2 linked regions of the Caenorhabditis elegans genome follow. The protein of the gene in region 1 interacts with the protein of each later gene in a biochemical or structural test. Each region holds a gene or a part of one and is shown on either strand. Other genes may lie near its edges. The genes, in order: mps-4 and exp-2.

What was found.
Region 2: of the proteins of mps-4 (region 1) and exp-2, one has a biochemical effect on the other in vitro, tested with the Caenorhabditis elegans proteins (one study listed by BioGRID).

The regions. Positions count from the first base shown.
Region 1 is NC_003281.10:8,270,185-8,273,616, reverse strand, and holds mps-4 (MinK-related peptide, potassium channel accessory subunit protein 4), read left to right. Parts: upstream 1-2,172; 5' UTR 2,173-2,221; coding exon 2,222-2,322; intron 2,323-2,370; coding exon 2,371-2,489; intron 2,490-2,771; coding exon 2,772-2,827; 3' UTR 2,828-2,897; downstream 2,898-3,432. Other genes in the region: clec-160 (C-type lectin domain-containing protein 160), read left to right, coding at 1-288, 549-609; F09G8.10 (uncharacterized protein), read left to right, coding at 1,449-1,573, 1,622-1,734, 1,820-2,172; crn-7 (Cell-death-related nuclease 7), read right to left, coding at 3,084-3,257, 3,365-3,432.
Region 2 is NC_003283.11:6,138,857-6,143,998, forward strand, and holds exp-2 (BTB domain-containing protein), read left to right. Parts: upstream 1-2,153; coding exon 2,154-2,200; intron 2,201-2,254; exon of another isoform or gene 2,255-2,470; intron 2,471-2,614; coding exon 2,615-2,638; intron 2,639-2,852; coding exon 2,853-3,132; intron 3,133-3,192; coding exon 3,193-3,306; intron 3,307-3,356; coding exon 3,357-3,476; intron 3,477-3,521; coding exon 3,522-3,695; intron 3,696-3,743; coding exon 3,744-4,335; intron 4,336-4,382; coding exon 4,383-4,564; downstream 4,565-5,142.

The sequences.
Region 1 (3,432 bases):
TTTAGTTTATGTAAATTCCGAGCTCAAAAACACATTCCTCAATCAATTCTACATGGATAACTGGTACCCTGAAAATCAAGAAAATCCAAACTATGACATTGGATATTACTATGATCAAGCTACGAAAAAGTTTATTTGGGTGAATGGAGTGACAAATAATCCATATTCAAATTGGGCTACTGGACATCCAGATGTAAAACAAGGAGATTGCGTGATGGCGAAATTATTGAAAGACTCGAAAAATGATTTCAGATGGAACTCTGTTAGTTGTACAAGTGAATATGGAAGGTGAGAATTCATTTATGAGAAATCTTTCTAACTTGTCCGTCCAAAAAAGGATACCCAATTTAAGAAACTTGAACAAAGAATACTTTATAATAACCATTGCTCTCTTTTTTCTCCGTATCATTCAAGGTTTTAGATAAAAATTATAATAAACTTTTGCATGGGTTTTTGGAATAACTTTTTTGAATATTTTGGAATAACGTATAACAAATTTGAACAAAAAACATAAAAATCCTCCAAAATTAAGTATAAAATTCTTCCAGAGGGCTGTGTCAAGAAGCAGCATGTGACACCGATTTCTACTGTGCACCTTCAAGCAATTAGTGATGTCATTCTCAATTTGAATTTAAACAGAATAAACTATTTTTAAAAGTAACATATTTCACTCTCTTTTTTAGGAGAATGTTTCGATACTCTACAAAACTAGTTTTTTTGTGGAGAGGAGGGGGAAGGCCTTGTGTCGGTATTTCGATATTCACCAGTGAATATGAATGAACTTTTTATGAATCACAGAATTGAGGCGATAGAGTCATTCGAAACTTTTTTCAATTGTTTGACACAAGAATGTCTCATAGGTTTTATTGATTTTTCTATTCTTTTTTTTACTTTTTGGTAACTTAGCGGTAGGAGATTTATAGATTTATAGGTCAAACTGAAAATGTTTTCAACTTTGCCTATGATTTCCATTCGACGTTTTTCGTAATTGTTGAGTAAAAAAAATTGTTTTTTAGAAATGTGATGTATATTTCTAAATCTAAATATATGTATGTATTTTATTCTAGTAATTAAAAAAGAGATTTTACATTTTTAAAACAAATAAATTTTGGTTTTGAACTAATTTTTTTTTGAGAATTTTTGATAGGTTTTAATTAGCCTATAGGGCTGGAACACCGGACGTTCGAAAAATCTGACGCACGCAACGTCCGGTTTTTTTTGTTTTGTGTTTACAATCTCTCTCACTCTCACTGAGATTGTAAATAAAAACAAAAAAATAACCGGACGCCAAAATTCAAATTTTCATTGTGCTTCTTTTTCTAAAATTTTTGGTTTTTCTGAAAAAAAAAACATACCCTGTTGGAATATTTTGTCTTGCATCGTGAGTTTTATTAAATAAACCTCTCCTGAAGCTCAATCAGATCTTAAACTCATATTTTAATTTGAGAATGTATCATCGCCGAGTTATTCAAATGAATGAAAAAGAGCTCCGAGCAGTTACAGCAATTGTGTTACCCGGAAGAAAGGGTGATCAGCTGAAAATTGGAGAAATGCAAGAAATGTGCATAAAGTGGCAAGTTGAATTAATATGATATGAGTTCATTAACTCTGTCTTTTCCAGGTTATTCTCAAATGGACTCTCGATTAACCACGTTTTCGAGATTCATGATGATGGAGATGGTGATTTATTTTGTGTGATGAGAAATTCCGATGCTTGTTGGTGTTGTCCAAAATGTATGATCGATTTCTTTTAATATGTCGGCCACAATCTCAGAAGCATGGGTCTTGTATTTCAACTTGTTTATTTTTAACTTTTTAGCCTCTGAACTAGGAACTCTAACTGATTTCGATCGAGGTCCAATTGGGGACAATTATAGAAGAACACCATCTCCGGTTCGAAAACCAACTACCGAAACAACAAAAGAAGATCTGGAACCTGAAAAGAAAGTGAAATTTGCACTTCCTTCTCCCGAACTTCCAGCTTCTTCGCCGCCACCAAAACCACAGAAACCAAAACTGCCATCTCAGAAAATTGCTCCAATTACAGTTCAGCCAACAATCGTGACGATTCCGGATAAAATACATAAAGAAGGAAAAGAGCAACAAGGAGCATGTGCATATTGTAAAAGAGAATGTGGATTATGTATTGTCACGTTATGTGCACAATTTTGAAATTAATATTTTATAAAATTTACTTTTTGATATTCTTTTCTGAAAAACCATGACTTTTCCAAAAGAAAATATCAACAACTACGCCAGTTCTTCGTTCAATTATAAATACCTAATTGAAGAATTTCTTCAATGGAGCTCCTCATGTAATCGGTAATTTTTCTTTTTCTTATTTGTTAAGATTTAAAAAACAAATTTCAGCATCTCCTATCCTACCAAATACTTTGATTTTCTACTCGTCATCATCATGACTTTTGTGTTCCTTTGTCTAGTATATTTACTTATTTGGATTGAAGTTTTGTTGAATTCTTCTCGGCCTGGTAAGCTTTATATATTTGATTTTATATATAGAGTGTTGGTCTGGGCTTTGGAAAACATATCAGCCTCATTTTTTAGGAATTATGACGTCGCTGTTTTCTTATTTTCTATATTACGTTACCGCGAAAGTTGGCGACGCTCTACCGAACTCCGTGTTAATTTACGGGCCTGAGACGTCCTACTGCCAAAAAATGAGGTTACCACATGTTTCAGACGCTAAATAACTATGGAATACTCTGACTACACATGATTACTTGGTATTTATAAAAAATACTAATTTTCAGATCCAAAGCATCGTGTCTATTACCCGAGAACAAATTTTTGGCAGAGAACAGACTAGAAGATTTTGATAATTATTTTAAGTTATTTTTTAATTTTTTTTCTGACTATGAAGTTTTTAGAAATTAAAATTTGTTAGTTTTGTTGTCAAACAGAAGTGTTATAATTCACCCGCAATTAATTTATGTTAAAGCAACAAAAAGAGGTTCAATTTTCAGAGGAGTACATTCTGAAATATAGATAACTGAGTACTTTGAAGAAGCTTGGCCTTAATAGTTTGGAATTTTTCGCCCAACTTTTTTTGGCCATTTTTCTTTTCAAATCTTTGATACCAGGCCGGCTGCGGAAAGGAGAGTGGCAATTGTTTGGAACATGGAAAAATGAGAAGAAGATTTACACGGTTCAACTTGAATAACAAAAGAATGATATAATTGCCAAAGATTTCTATTTTGAATGCACAATGCTCCACCGCCACGTTTCAGTTGTGATTTCTGAAAACAAAAAGTGTGCTATTTCACTTTATGAATACTCTTCAAGTTTATGATTGAATGTTTTTCGTGGCGAGTCTGTGATCCTTAAAAAACGATATGTGACCAACCTGCCTATTCATATCTCCAAAACAAACAATCGGATTGGTCTGAGAATTTGAAACCGCCCATTTCGAAT
Region 2 (5,142 bases), on another chromosome or scaffold:
TTATTTGCATTTTATGGGCATTAAAGTTGCATTTTCTTTTAAAAACATTAAAGGAAATAGTTCTAAACCACTTAAAAATTGACATAGGTAACTTTCACCCTTAATCTAAAATTAACTACAACATTATTTGCTCATTGGCTATCTGTATCTTGCACACATATCTTGCAACGTTTTCTTCCCGATTTCTATTCTGACCCAGTCTACTTTTTGGAGAAAATGTGATGTGGATTACGAGTTAAGAGCTTGTTAGCAACAATTGGTAGCCGTTCATCCATATGAAATCCTCATTCTTTTCCGTTTTTCTGCGAGGGGCGACCCCCCATTCCAAATGCCTTCAGCTGCACTATGTTCTGTTTCTTCTAGTTTCTTATATCCTAATAACCCTTGGTGAACCATTCAGTTAATCTGAGCTAAACTTTTTTTTTAACATGCTGATCCACTGAATGGATTCAATTTTCTCTGTGTAAGTTTTGTTTCGTTATAAAGTTTCATAAAGAATTAGTTACTTGCAAGCAAAAAAGACCGAATGAGCTCCTCATTTGTTGTATGCTCAAATGATTATGTTGGCAGAGTTCATCTCAAGCTTCTCCTCCCGTGTTGTGTTTTTTTCTCGTTTTCTATCCTCGACCGTCTCAACGAGGGAACAAAGATCACGGGAACTTTTTCAATTCGAGAATTGAATAGGTTTTTGCATTTTTAGACTAAATTCTTGTGGCTCTGGGCAAGTAAACGAAACAATTCTCAAGTGGTACTCACAGTGGTCAAATGATTCCTCCAGAACCCGTGGAGCCAGATATATTTTGACATTTTGCTCGAATTTCCACCCTCACACTCTTTTTTTTTTGTCGTTAGTTCTCTTTTTCGATCTTTGCTAGTGAGAAATATTTAGAAGCGGTCTAGTGGAAGAAAATTTATAATCGAGTAGGCTTGAGGTTACACAGGGATGGAGACTCGGAGAAGAGGTGCTAAACGGGTCCATATGCAAAAAGCAAAACAAAAAACCAACTGCCAGAGAAGAATTCGACTTTTAGATTATTGTTCTGGCGTTCGGTTGTGAGAATGAAAATGGCTCAGGCCAGGTAGGTCATACTCAATATTATTTTTTGGTAGCAAATAATTTTCTGAAAAAATTGAATACGAAGATTTAGTGTAGGTCAGACCATATCAAATTAGAGAGCCAATTCTATACTCTTTTTTATCACTCTTACATTCTTTTCCGCACATTGTCTCTGGCAAACAATACCTATCATTTTCACAATGTAAACCTACAAGTGTACCTTACCGACAGATCATCCTCTTCGGCCCCCTATCACTGTGTTTACTTTCGCTCCTAAAATCCTACGTGAGCAACAAAATTTGTCATACATGAATCTCAATTTTACTCGATTTTTATAGTGTTCCATCGATGTGGAGAATAAGAGAATATGAGAATTTTTCACCGCAATTGAAAACATATGTTTTTTGGTTTTTCAATTGATTGGATGAAAGAAGGCAGATATCTTTCGAAGCTCCACTTTGTTTCTTGATTCAATTGCTAGCGTGTTGAATGTTCATCCCGATTCATTTTATATTCTAGAAATTCCAGTCTAGAGAGTCATGAGAGTCATCACCGTAAATCAATCATGTTGCTTTTCCTCCCTTCCAGTAAGTAGATAAAATAGATGCCGAAAAACGGGGCACCCGAGACCAAAACCACAAATTTGGTTGCTTTTCGTCTTCGTCGTCTTTGCCGCCGTCTTCATCGACAACTCGCTCATATTTGGTTGCTAATACTACACATATATATGTAGCAGTGAATTGAAGAGAAACAGACGAATTCCGTCGTATCTATCTCATTCTCTCACTACCTCACCTGCATATCTTTTCCCTCTATAAGCACCGTGCTCCCTCCGGTAAGCTTTGAGCGCCCAGCGCGGTTTCCCACGCGACGAAGAAAAAGAGAAGCAAGGCGTCAATTCGGCCACCTGCTGTCAATCCTCTCTCATTCTCACTCTCTGTGCCGATCCTTCATATCTTCACACCTGCCCTCAGTGGAGCCCCATCCCAGCTGCCAGTGCTCATAAAAAAGAAAAACTAGAAGGACCTTTTCTTATCACCTGTTATTTATCAACTGGTGTTCCTGGGGTCGGACGTCTGAAGTATTAGATACCACAATGGCATGTGCAAGTATTTCTTACTCGGCGCTGGCATATAATGGACAGTAAGTTTTTCTATCAAAGCATACCGGAAGCTTCTAACATCATCATAGATTCACGTCACGCATCCTCATCACATCTTCTCAATCTATCTATTAGTTCTGTTTTCTCTTCTTCCTTTTCTTATCTTAGTGGAAAAAAAAAATAGCTTCACTTTAAATGTGTCAGTCCAATTCTCATCATCCTTGACACCTCTCATCTTGTCACGCACACACACGTGTGATGACACCTCTCTTCTACTTCTCCTAAACCTACTCTGAACACTGCTGAAAACTACTGAAAAAAAAACACTTCACGCGCTAAAACTGAAGTTGCAAAATGGCGATTGCAATATCGCAAGCGGTTCTAGCGCATCGAAATTCTGCAGCAACATTTACGGTCCCTGGCTCGACGGAGCAACTCAAATTCCATAATTACAGGGTAACCGGAAACATGATCAGCGGGTAAGTTGTGATTTTTAATGCCATGACTATCAATCTAACTAAAGATCGGATTGTATCGATCGTGTTTCTCTTTTCATGCATGATGCTTATGTTGTGATGTTTGATATATTAGCTTTTCCTTCCCTGTCACTAAAACTGAACTCTAGACCAAGATATCAACGGGTGTGATGCACTTTGATCTTTTGTTCTAAAATTCTAATCCTCCAATTTTCAGGGCCGCACAGCAGCACAAAAAGCGGCTAGTCCCGCTGCGTCGGACTGATGCAATGACAGTGGCGGAACGTCGAAACTATCAGATTCTAGACGATATTTTTCGATCTGGAGCATCCGATTGTTTCCAACAAGTCAGTTCAGCGGATAACGGAAGCCCACAGTTTTTGAAGCTAAATATTGGAGGCACAAGCTTTATGATTCTAATCGACGCGATTCTCCGCGCAGACACAACTACTTTTCTCTCGCGGTTTGTCCAACTCACACACACAGCTAGATTAAAAGTGAGCTAAAAACTGGGGGATAATCTCATCATATCATCAATCTATTTCTCTTTTATTTAGGTTGCGGATGCCTATATTTCCGCTGATGATGCTTACTATTTCCAACGATCACCTACTTCCTTTGAAGCTGTGTTTCAATACTATGCAACAGGAGTGGTGCATCGACCATCTGAGGTGAATATTAGGAAGTGAAGTGGAAAATATCTACTTTTTTAAAATTTTAGATTTGTCCAGCTTCGTTTCTAAGTGAGCTCGACTTTTGGAGGATATCCCATCAACATGTTGGATCTTGTTGCGCCGATATTATCCCCCAAAAACGGGAAGAAGAGAAAGAAGAAGAAAAAGTAAATCATCTGTATATCACAAATTAAAGAAAAATTTGTTTTAAGGTAGATGATACCACCTTCGATAAGTTGATGTGCGGAAAGTTACGGAGGAGGATGTGGACTTTTCTCGAACGGCCTGGCTCTTCAATGCAAGCAAAGGCATTTGAGTTGTCATCGACTCTTTTTGTAGCAATTTCAGTTATGGGACTTTCTTTTGGAACTATTCCAGATTTTCAAGTAAGTATTTAACTTTCTAATAATTTGGTTAAGCATTCAAATATTCAGGTTACTCATCTTATGCCTCCTCATAATGAAACAGTAGTGTTACCGAATGGAACTGTAACGGTTGTTCAAAAAGTTGAGCAAATGAGAGTGGAACATCCGGCGTTTGTGTTCACGGAACGGATATGCATTGCATTTTTCACTGTCGAATATTGCCTCCGGTTTTTCGCCGCACCACGGAAATTAAGATTTGCGCTGAAACCGCTGAACCTTGTCGATTTACTTGCTATTGTTCCATTCTACTTGGAATTGCTTCTGACATTATGCGGAGTTGATGACAGGAAATTAAGAGATCTACGATGGGCTTTCCTTGTTGTTCGGATTCTTCGAGTTCTTCGAGTTATCAGAATTATCAAATTGGGAAGGTTCTCATCGGGACTCCAAACATTCGGAATGACACTTCAAAGATCACAAAAACAACTACAAATGATGACAATTGTACTTCTGACTGGAGTTGTATTCTTTTCAACCATGATTTATTTCTTGGAAAAAGACGAGGAAGGAACACCGTTCACAAGTATTCCGGCGGCATATTGGTGGTGTATAGTAACAATGACAACTGTAGGATATGGAGATGCTGTTCCCGCAACTACTAGTGAGTTCTTTCCCCTATTTGTGGGTTCTAATTGAATTTAATTTCAGTGGGGAAAATCATTGCATCAGCAGCAATTATGTGCGGAGTACTTGTACTTGCTCTGCCCATTACTATCATTGTCGACAACTTCATCAAAGTGGCTCAAGATGAACAACAAGCGGAGCAACAGAAAAATGACCAGCAAAGCGAGCAACTCGCGTTGGAAGCCATGCTCAATGCCCATGACTAGTATACAAATTATTTCAATGATTAATGTTACGAGTAAATGTTTCCCCCGAAGTTCTATATGTTTTATCAAACTTAAGTGAGTATATTGGTTTTGTTATTTTATTTTCATAAATTTATATTTTTTCTAAATTTTCTATTATGGTTACTATCATTATTTCCGAATCTAAAAATATTATTGAAAAAGAAAACCAATCCAATTTCAACGGGAAACTCCTCCAGTGCACTTTCTCCTACTTTATCTCTCCCCCACTCTCTCACTCTCTTCAACTTTTTTCAAAAAGTCTTGACGGCATCTGACTATAAAGTAAAAAAGAAGAAGATTCCAATTTCTCTTGGCATATTTTTTGATTCAAAGCCGCTTTACACACTCCATCCATTTCCCCATTTCCCCATGTGAAAACACAGAGAAGAACACGCTAGAAAAAAAACTCGAAAAAGACATTAGGCCATTTCCTCTCCCAAGACCCACCTGGATTTTTGTTGTTAGCTAACATATCACTCTCGTCCGAAGGAATGATTTTAATAAAAATATTATTAAAAGTTTGATATTATCACTTTGTTCGATTCGTAACCCGACTT